2 linked regions of the Ovis aries genome follow. The protein of the gene in region 2 interacts with the protein of the main gene of each other region in a pairwise test. Links are inferred from orthologs where the notes say so. Each region holds a gene or a part of one and is shown on either strand. Other genes may lie near its edges.

The links.
Region 1: the proteins of TSKS (region 2) and TSSK2 interact in binary tests that used the Homo sapiens proteins (3 or more experiments, as listed by UniProt). The link is inferred for Ovis aries from reciprocal best matches to the Homo sapiens genes TSKS and TSSK2.

What each region holds. Positions count from the first base shown.
Region 1 is NC_056070.1:72,624,715-72,628,991, forward strand, and holds TSSK2 (testis-specific serine/threonine-protein kinase 2), read left to right. Parts: upstream 1-1,552; 5' UTR 1,553-2,566; coding exon 2,567-3,640; 3' UTR 3,641-3,656; downstream 3,657-4,277.
Region 2 is NC_056067.1:55,855,943-55,859,746, forward strand, and holds part of TSKS (testis-specific serine kinase substrate), read right to left. Parts: intron 1,174-3,804; exon of another isoform or gene 1,150-1,173; coding exon of another isoform or gene 1,072-1,149; intron 983-1,071; coding exon 887-982; intron 681-886; coding exon 597-680; intron 313-596; coding exon of another isoform or gene 286-312; coding exon 202-285; intron 1-201. UniProt on the Homo sapiens protein: May play a role in testicular physiology, most probably in the process of spermatogenesis or spermatid development.

The sequences.
Region 1 (4,277 bases), on a different chromosome or scaffold from region 2:
GCCACGCACCCCTGGGCGTCACAGTGTGGCCACCGCCTGGACCCCATCCCCGTGTTTCTGTCACCTCCCACGGTAGCCGAGGCCCCCCTCCTGCACCCAGTCCGGCTCTGCTGCCTGCAGCAAGGATCTCCACGCCTGGCCCCTAAAGTCCTCCTAGGTCTGGCCTCCTCCTGGCTGCCCGGCAGCTCGCCGTGGACCCCAGCCCTGCTGGTGGACCGGTCCCTGAGCCCCTGCCCACCTCTCCAGGCTCCGCTGAGGGGCCGCAGCCTCCACACACGAAGCCTCTGGCGGCCACTGCCCGGACAGGCAGGCGAGGGCCCAAGATGGAGCAGTCCTGGGGGTGGGGTCACAAGCCTGCACCGTGGGGGAGCGGGATTCCAGGGTGCACAGGGCCAGCGCGGATGCATTCGCCCCAGGAGGCTTGCAAACTCCCCCTCGGGTCAGCAGTGATCATGGGGGCCTGGGGGCAAGGCTGCGGGGAGGGGCCTCGGGAAGGAGCAAAAGCTGTGTGTTTCCCAGGCGGGGGCACAGGTCAGAGGGGGCGGGTGGCCACCTGAACCCACCCAGCGCGGAGCAGGCCCCACTGCGAGGCCTTCCCGAGGTGGCCTGGGGCACGGTCGATCCTTTGAGCCGCCCCACTGCCCCAGACAGGCTCAGCCCCCGCAGCGATCCCCGGGACCCTCGGTGGGGCCTCTGGGCCAGCCGTGCGCCTCCCGCCCCGCACGCTCTCACCACCTGGCCCTGCAGACCCTCAGTGGCACCTCTGTCCCCATCCTCCACGGGGTCTGACCTCAGCCCTCAGCCTCCGCGAGTCCACAGCTGTGTGTGCCCGCCACGGCCCAGCCACAGGGCACTCACACCCTGGGTGATGCTGAGCCACCTTGGGCCCTGGGAAGGCAGGGCCCACTCCGGTCACCCGGGGCCTGAGGCCAACCCTCAAAGCTCCAAGGGCAGCGTCCCAGAGCCTGCGGTCTGGCACTCATAGGCCTGCAGCCAGGAGCACCCTGAAGCCCGTCCAGTCTGACCCCGCCCCGGGGGCTCCGGCAGTCCAGCACGCACGTTCTGGGCAGGGCCCCTGCGGCTCGCCCGAGTCTGCAGGCCTGACGTCCCTGGAGAACCAGAGGCCACAGCGTCCTGGGCGAGGGAGGGCGTGGGGAGCAGGCACCGCAGCAAAGGGCAACCCCAACAGAGTCCTGGGGGCGAGGGAGACAGGCAGGGAGGGCGCCTGGCCTGGGGGGCCTCGCGGCTGGCCCCTCTATAGTTCCACTGGTTCCTACCGAAGCCCCCAGGAGACTGCAGGCATCGGGCAGGTCCCTGCCGCTGGCCTCGGGGCCCGGCTGCCCTGCCCGGGGCCTTCCGCATGGACCTCCTGCAGGGAGCTCTGTGCGCCCGCCCGGGCGTGTGTGCGTGCTCCCCTCCCAGCAGCTGGCGAGCCCCGCTGAACCCCGGCACGGGGCTTCTGGGTCACCGCCACCCACCCAGACACAGGACGCCCCCTCCTCCGAGCACCCGTCCTGGAGACAGGCCGCGAGGGCGCGTGAACACGACTTGCGCCCACAGGGGCCTCGGCGCCCGGGCAAGAACAGAGCAGGCGGACGCCGTTTCCAGATGCAGAGACAGTCTAAGGCGCGAAGGTGGCACGCCTGCCCAGGATCCCGGTGCTCACAGAGGCCCAAGTGACGGAATTCAGGGCGCCCTCCCCAGCCCCCAGCCCCCGCCTCGGGCCCCGCCCACTGTGTGCACGCCCCACCGGCCTGCCCCCGCCAGCCGCCTGTTGCCCGGTCACAGGCTCTGGCCGCCCTTGGCTACGTGCTCCCGCAGGACCTGTCTTAAAGCGGGGCTCGGTCCCAGCGGCTCCTGCAGCCCCCGCCCCCCGCCCCTCTCCTCCACGTCCCGACCCCCGCCCCTCTCCTCCACGTCCCGACCCCGGTGCCGGGGCCCATCCATTCCCACAACGCCCACCTCCCCCAGGCCCTTCCCTGCCTGCACCTCAACTCTTCTTGCCCTCGGAACGCCAGCCCACCAGGGCTCCAGGCCACGGGGCTGGGCACTCACAGAGTCCGAGCTGCCCTCCACCCTAGCCAGCCACCTTCGTCCCCCGGGATCCAGGCGGCCCCTCCCAGGCCCGGCCCAGAGGTGGTGCTCATCCCACCTCAAGGCAGTGGCGGGGAGGCAGCCCTCCCTGGAGGGACAGGATCCGCTGCAGGGGCCTGGCACGCTGGCTGGACCTGGGCGGCCCCAGCCTGACTCAGCCCAGGGTGGCACGGCGAGCCCGCAGCAGTCCTGGGCGCCGGCTTCCTCTCTTCCGGCGGGCCGCAGGGCTCTGCCAGCCCAGTCAGCCTTCCAGGGCTCCGGGGCCCGTCCCCCACCCAGTTCCCACCCTGGGCAGCCTGGCTTTGTGACTTCACAGGCTGAAGTCACGCGGGGACAATGCTGGGCGTTCCACACCTCCAGGTGCAGGCCCAGCCTGGCCAGACGGCTCCCCGCAGCGCAGTCGAGGACGATGTCCGCTGGCCCGCGTGGGGGGGGGATGTAGAGGGCGGCGGCGCGGGCCGCTCCGGGCGCCATGGACGATGCCGCGGTCCTGAGGAAGAAGGGCTACATCGTGGGCATCAACCTGGGAAAGGGCTCCTATGCCAAGGTCAAGTCCGCCTACTCCGAGCGCCTCAAGTTCAACGTGGCGGTCAAGATCATCGACCGCAGGAAGACGCCCGCCGACTTCGTGGAGAGGTTCCTGCCCCGGGAGATGGACATCCTGGCGACCGTCAACCACCGCTCCATCATCAAGACCTACGAGATCTTCGAGACGTCCGACGGCCGCATCTACATTGTGATGGAGCTCGGCGTGCAGGGTGACCTCCTCGAGTTCATCAAGTGCCGGGGGGCCCTGCACGAGGACGTGGCACGCAGGATGTTCCGGCAGCTGTCCTCGGCCGTCAAGTACTGCCACGACCTGGACGTCGTCCACCGCGACCTCAAGTGCGAGAACCTCCTCCTCGACAAGGACTTCAACATCAAGCTGTCCGACTTCGGATTCTCCAAGCGCTGCCTGCGGGACGGCAGTGGCCGGCTGACGCTGAGCAAGACCTTCTGCGGGTCGGCGGCGTACGCGGCCCCCGAGGTGCTGCAGGGCATCCCCTACCAGCCCAAGGTGTACGACATCTGGAGCCTGGGCGTGATCCTCTACATCATGGTCTGCGGCTCCATGCCGTACGACGACTCCGACGTCAAGAAGATGCTGCGCATCCAGAAGGAGCACCGCGTGGACTTCCCGCGCTCCAAGCACCTGACGGGCGAGTGCAAGGACCTCATCTACCGGATCCTGCAGCCGGATGTCACCCGGCGCCTGCACATCGACGAGATCCTCAGCCATGCGTGGCTGCAGCCCCCCAAGCCCAAGGCCATGCCCTCCGCCTCCTTCAAGCGGGAGGGCGAGGGCAAGTACCGGGCTGACTGCAAGCTGGACCCGCGGCCTGAGCACCGGCCCGACCACAAACTGGGGGCCAAGACCCAGCACCGGCTGCTCGTGGTGCCCGAGACCGAGGACCGTGTGGAGGAGCGGCTGGCCGAAGCCTCCAGGGGCAAGGACCCCCACGTCTCCGGGGCCGAGGTGGGGAAGGCAAGCACCGAGCGGTGCTGAGGGCCCGGGGGGCATGCGTGGCGCCGCGCGGCCCCGGGGGCTGAGTGGGCGGTAGGAGCCGAAGAAGCCACAGGTGCAAGAACGAGTAAAGTCCGTCAATTAAACCGCTATTTTGATTACGTTCTATTAGCTTCCTTCCACTTAGTAGCAGAGACCTTAAACCCTGACCACCAAATAAACCACAGTGAACAGCAGAGAGGTGCGCGGAGTCTTTTTCTCTGGGACTCAGCACCCACTCCCTGCGGCCAGGGGGCTCCGGGGAGCCGGCCTTGTGGGCATGGAGTCCGCGGCCTCCCACCAGGCCCCCGCTGCCCTCCCACCCCGCTCGCGCCCCTCAGGCAGCCCGTCCTCAACGCCCGCCCGCCCTTTGGCCCTTCAGAACTTCTGGCGGCCCCCCTCCCGCCCCCTGCTCTGCCTCTCACTCGGGCCCCCCCAGACCTCCAACCCCACTTTCTGGGGCTCTCTCAGGCCCACGCCCACCCTTCCCTACTGGGACGAAGCATTAAAAGCAGCCCTTTCCTGACCCCATGGCCCCAGCCCCGCGCCCTTGGTGCCCAGCCAGGGCTCAACGTGGAGGAGCGCAGACCAGCTGGACCCCAGGGAGTCCGAGGGCGGCCTGCTGGGGCCTGACTGCTCC
Region 2 (3,804 bases):
AATATGACTGTGCGTGGAGAAGTATGACCATGAACACAAAGGAGCAGGGGGGTGGCGGTGGTGGTGGTGGTGGTGGTGGTGGTGGTGGCGGCGGTGGTGGTGGTGGTGGTTGGTAGGGCGGGAAGTCCTACCCGAAGTCCACCTCGAGTACCTCACATACTTGAGTAACTTCCTCAAACCTTTAGACCCCCTCCGCCTTACCTCCAGCAGAGCAGAATTCTGCTTCAGGACGTTGGTTTTTATTTCAGCGTCTTCCACCGACCGGGTCACCTTCCGGCAGTTCTCCTGGGTCAGGACACCAGGGCAGGGGCCCTGCCTTCCCATTCCGGTTCCGTCTCCCAACCCTTATCCTTGTTATTTTCCATGCAGGTTCCACCCCCCTCAGCCGAGACGTGCCCACTTCTTGTGCAAGGACTGTCTCCACCCTTGGTTCACTTGGCTAAAGGGCGGGTTTGTCCTCGGACCTCTCCCACGCTCCCTGTCCGCTTGCCCCCATCTCTCTCCTGTCGACCACTCCACTCCTCCCCATTTCCTCTCACCCTCTTCCTACTCCTGCTCCCTTCTTTCCGCCCCGCTCCTGCCCCTCAGCAGCTCACCTTGAGTTGACTGCAGTACCCTTCTAGTTCTTCCGCCTCTTGCCGCCTTCTCTCTAAATTCTCACTCAGCACAGAGCACTCACTCTGGAGCATGGAAGGGAGGAGGGGTTAGCCAGCGCCTCCAGGGGACACACCATGGGGAGGAGAGGTGGGAACATCCCTTTCCCTTCTGAGCCTCAGTCTCCCCCAGCTGGGCTATGGGTGCATTGAGCTGGAGGATAGCTCAAAGAAGGGGAACGTGGCCCCGGAAGAAGAGGAGGTGTTGGCGGGGAGCGGGGTGGCCCTCACACCTGCAGCGTCTGCACGTGCTGGTTAACCCGGGTGGTCTTCTCCTTCAAACTGGTGATGGAATCCTTGGCGCGCACCAATCCACTGTTGACCCCACTCTGGGGAAGAACCAGAGACAGCCAGAGGTCAGAGGGTGTAGGGGAGCAAACCCCAACCCCAAGAGAAAGTCTTAAAACTGGCTTTACACCTGGCTTCTGCCCTGGAATAGCTGGTGGAATTGGGGGCCAGGGCTGCGCCTCTTTGATTCTCGGTGTTCTTGCTCCATTAAGCCAGGGGGCAGACTCTTTTTCTGCTTAGTGGATGGGAAGAAAAATAAGTAGGATCCAGGAGGGAGTGGGGGGTTGGGGGTTGCTCAGACATGTGGGAGAAGGGGGATGTTCTTAACCTGAGATAAATGCCTTTGGGTCCCGAGACATAAATAAGATAAACTGTTAAAACACATGCCCTGTCTTTCTCTCCAGGCAGTGGAGAATTCTAAAGATAACCCACTTTCCAAATATAAGCACTCACTATGCACCAAGTCACGCACTTACCCACGTTTTCCCATTTATTCCCCACAACCGCACCTCTTGAGGTTATTTTGGCGCATTTTGCAAGGGAGGCAAATGAGGCCCAGAGAGGAGATGTCCTTTGTATTCCCAGGTACATGGTATGTGAGGTGCCCTTGTCAGAATTTATACTCCGAACCATTGTTTTAAACCATGATGCCGTGCAGCTGCTGATCATAGCTACCTTATATCATCATAAAATGCTTTGTGACCCCTGTCAAAAAAACTGGCTCAGGAAGGCTGCATGTGACAGGATCTCCACTCTCCTGTCTTCCACATTTATAGAAGAGTTAGCCTGGCACATGACTGCCCAGCCAAAGACTACATTTCCCAGGTGCCCTTGCAGCTGGGCAAGCTCATGTGACTAAGTTCTGGCCAATGGAATATGAGTGGGAATAATGTAGGCCATTTCCAATTCATGCCTTTAATAAAAGAAAGTAGGGAGCATACTTCCCTTTCTCCCCATGATGTTGATGGCCAAAGCCAGGGCAGCCATCTTGAACTATGAGATGAAGGACACAAGATAAAAGAATATTGAATTCTCAACCCTGTGAAGCTGCCATACTCAATTCCAACCACTTTCAGGTACTTTACATGTGAGAAGGAGAACGTTTTCCACCTTGTTTATGCTACTTTGGGGACTTCCCTGGTGCTCCAGTGGCTAAGATTCTGGGCTTGAGTTCGATCCCTGGTCAGGGAAGTAAGATCCTCCATGCTGCAACTAAGAGTTTGCCTAAACACATGCCACAGCTAAAAATATCCTGAGTACAGTAACTAAAGACCCTACATGTCACAAGGAAGACCCAGTGCAGCCAAATAAATATTTAAAAAGCCCAACACTGCTACTTTGTGTCTTTTTTGTTACAGCAGCCAAACTTGTGACTTAATAACTGAGCCTCCAGAACCCTGGGGCCTCTGACCTGCTATACTTGAGATGTTTATGTCAGCAATAAACTATCCTGCTTCAACCAGATATTTTGGTTTTCTTTCACAGCTGCTAAAGTAATACACAAAGAAAAGAGAACAAGCTTCCTCCATTGTAAAATGGGAACAACCTCACATTTCTTGCACAACTGCTCTGGATAAATACCATGATAAATACTGTATTAAGGTGATATCAGCAAAATGGAGGAGTTGGAAACCCCCAAATTCCACCCCTCAATGAGAACAATGAAAAAAAGTGACCAAAACCGACTCAAGTCATTGGGAAGATTACAACAATCATAAATATATATGCACCTAATAGAGCTTCAAAACATATGTATCAAAAACTAACAGAATTGGGAATTCCCTGGCAGTCCAGGGGCTAGGACTCTGTGCTTTTACTGCCGAGGGCCCAGATTCAGTCCCTGGGTCAGGGAACTAAGATCCCACATGCCGCGTGGCACAGCACCCTTCCTCTCCCCTCAAAAAGAAAGAATGAATTGAAAACTAGAAAGTAGATCGGCAAAGAGACAGAAGACTTGAACAACACCATAAACCAACCAAACCTAACAGACATCTATAGGGCATAACACGCAACAGCAGAACACACATTCTTCTCAAGTGGAATGAAACATTCTTCATATGGTCAAGGACAGACCCTAAAGGATATGAAAACAAAGTGTGCTTTCTGACCTCAAAGACCTCAGTAGAATGAAATTAGGAATCAAACGCAGAAAGAAATTATGAGGAACTCACAAGTATTGATAAATGGAAATTAAACAACACACACTCATAAATAATGGGTGGAAGAAGAATCACAAGAGAAATTATACTTTGGAATGAGAGGAAAATGAAAAAAGATTACAGTGGAGAAAATAAAATAGAACAGTAGAGAAAAATCAGCATGCCGGAAGTTGTTTTTTTTTTTTTTTTAAAGATCGACAAAATTGCCAAATTCTTGGCTAGATTGACTATGAAAAAGAGGAAGAATACTCAAATCACTAAAATCAGGAAAGAAAAAGGGGACATTACTACCGGTCTTAGGGAAAGAGAAAGGATTACAAGGGAACTCTATGAACAATTGGATGCCATTAAATTTGATAACCTAGATGAAATGGAAAAATTCCTTGCAAAACACTAACTGCAGAAGAGATAGGACATCTGAATAGCCCTATAACAAGTAAAGGGTTTGAGTTAGTGATTTTAAAACTTCCAACAAAGAAAGCCCAGATGTCTTTACTGGTGAATTCTACCAATCTTTTTTTTTTTTCAAAAGAGTTGCTGCCAAATCATCTCAAACTCTTCACCAAAAAACAGAAGAGGAGGAAACTGTGAAGCCAGTGTTACCCTGATGCCAAAACCAAAGACACCACCAGATAGTAAAACTACAGACCAGCATCCTTTCTGGAAATAGCCACAAACATTTCAACAAAACACTAGCAAACCAA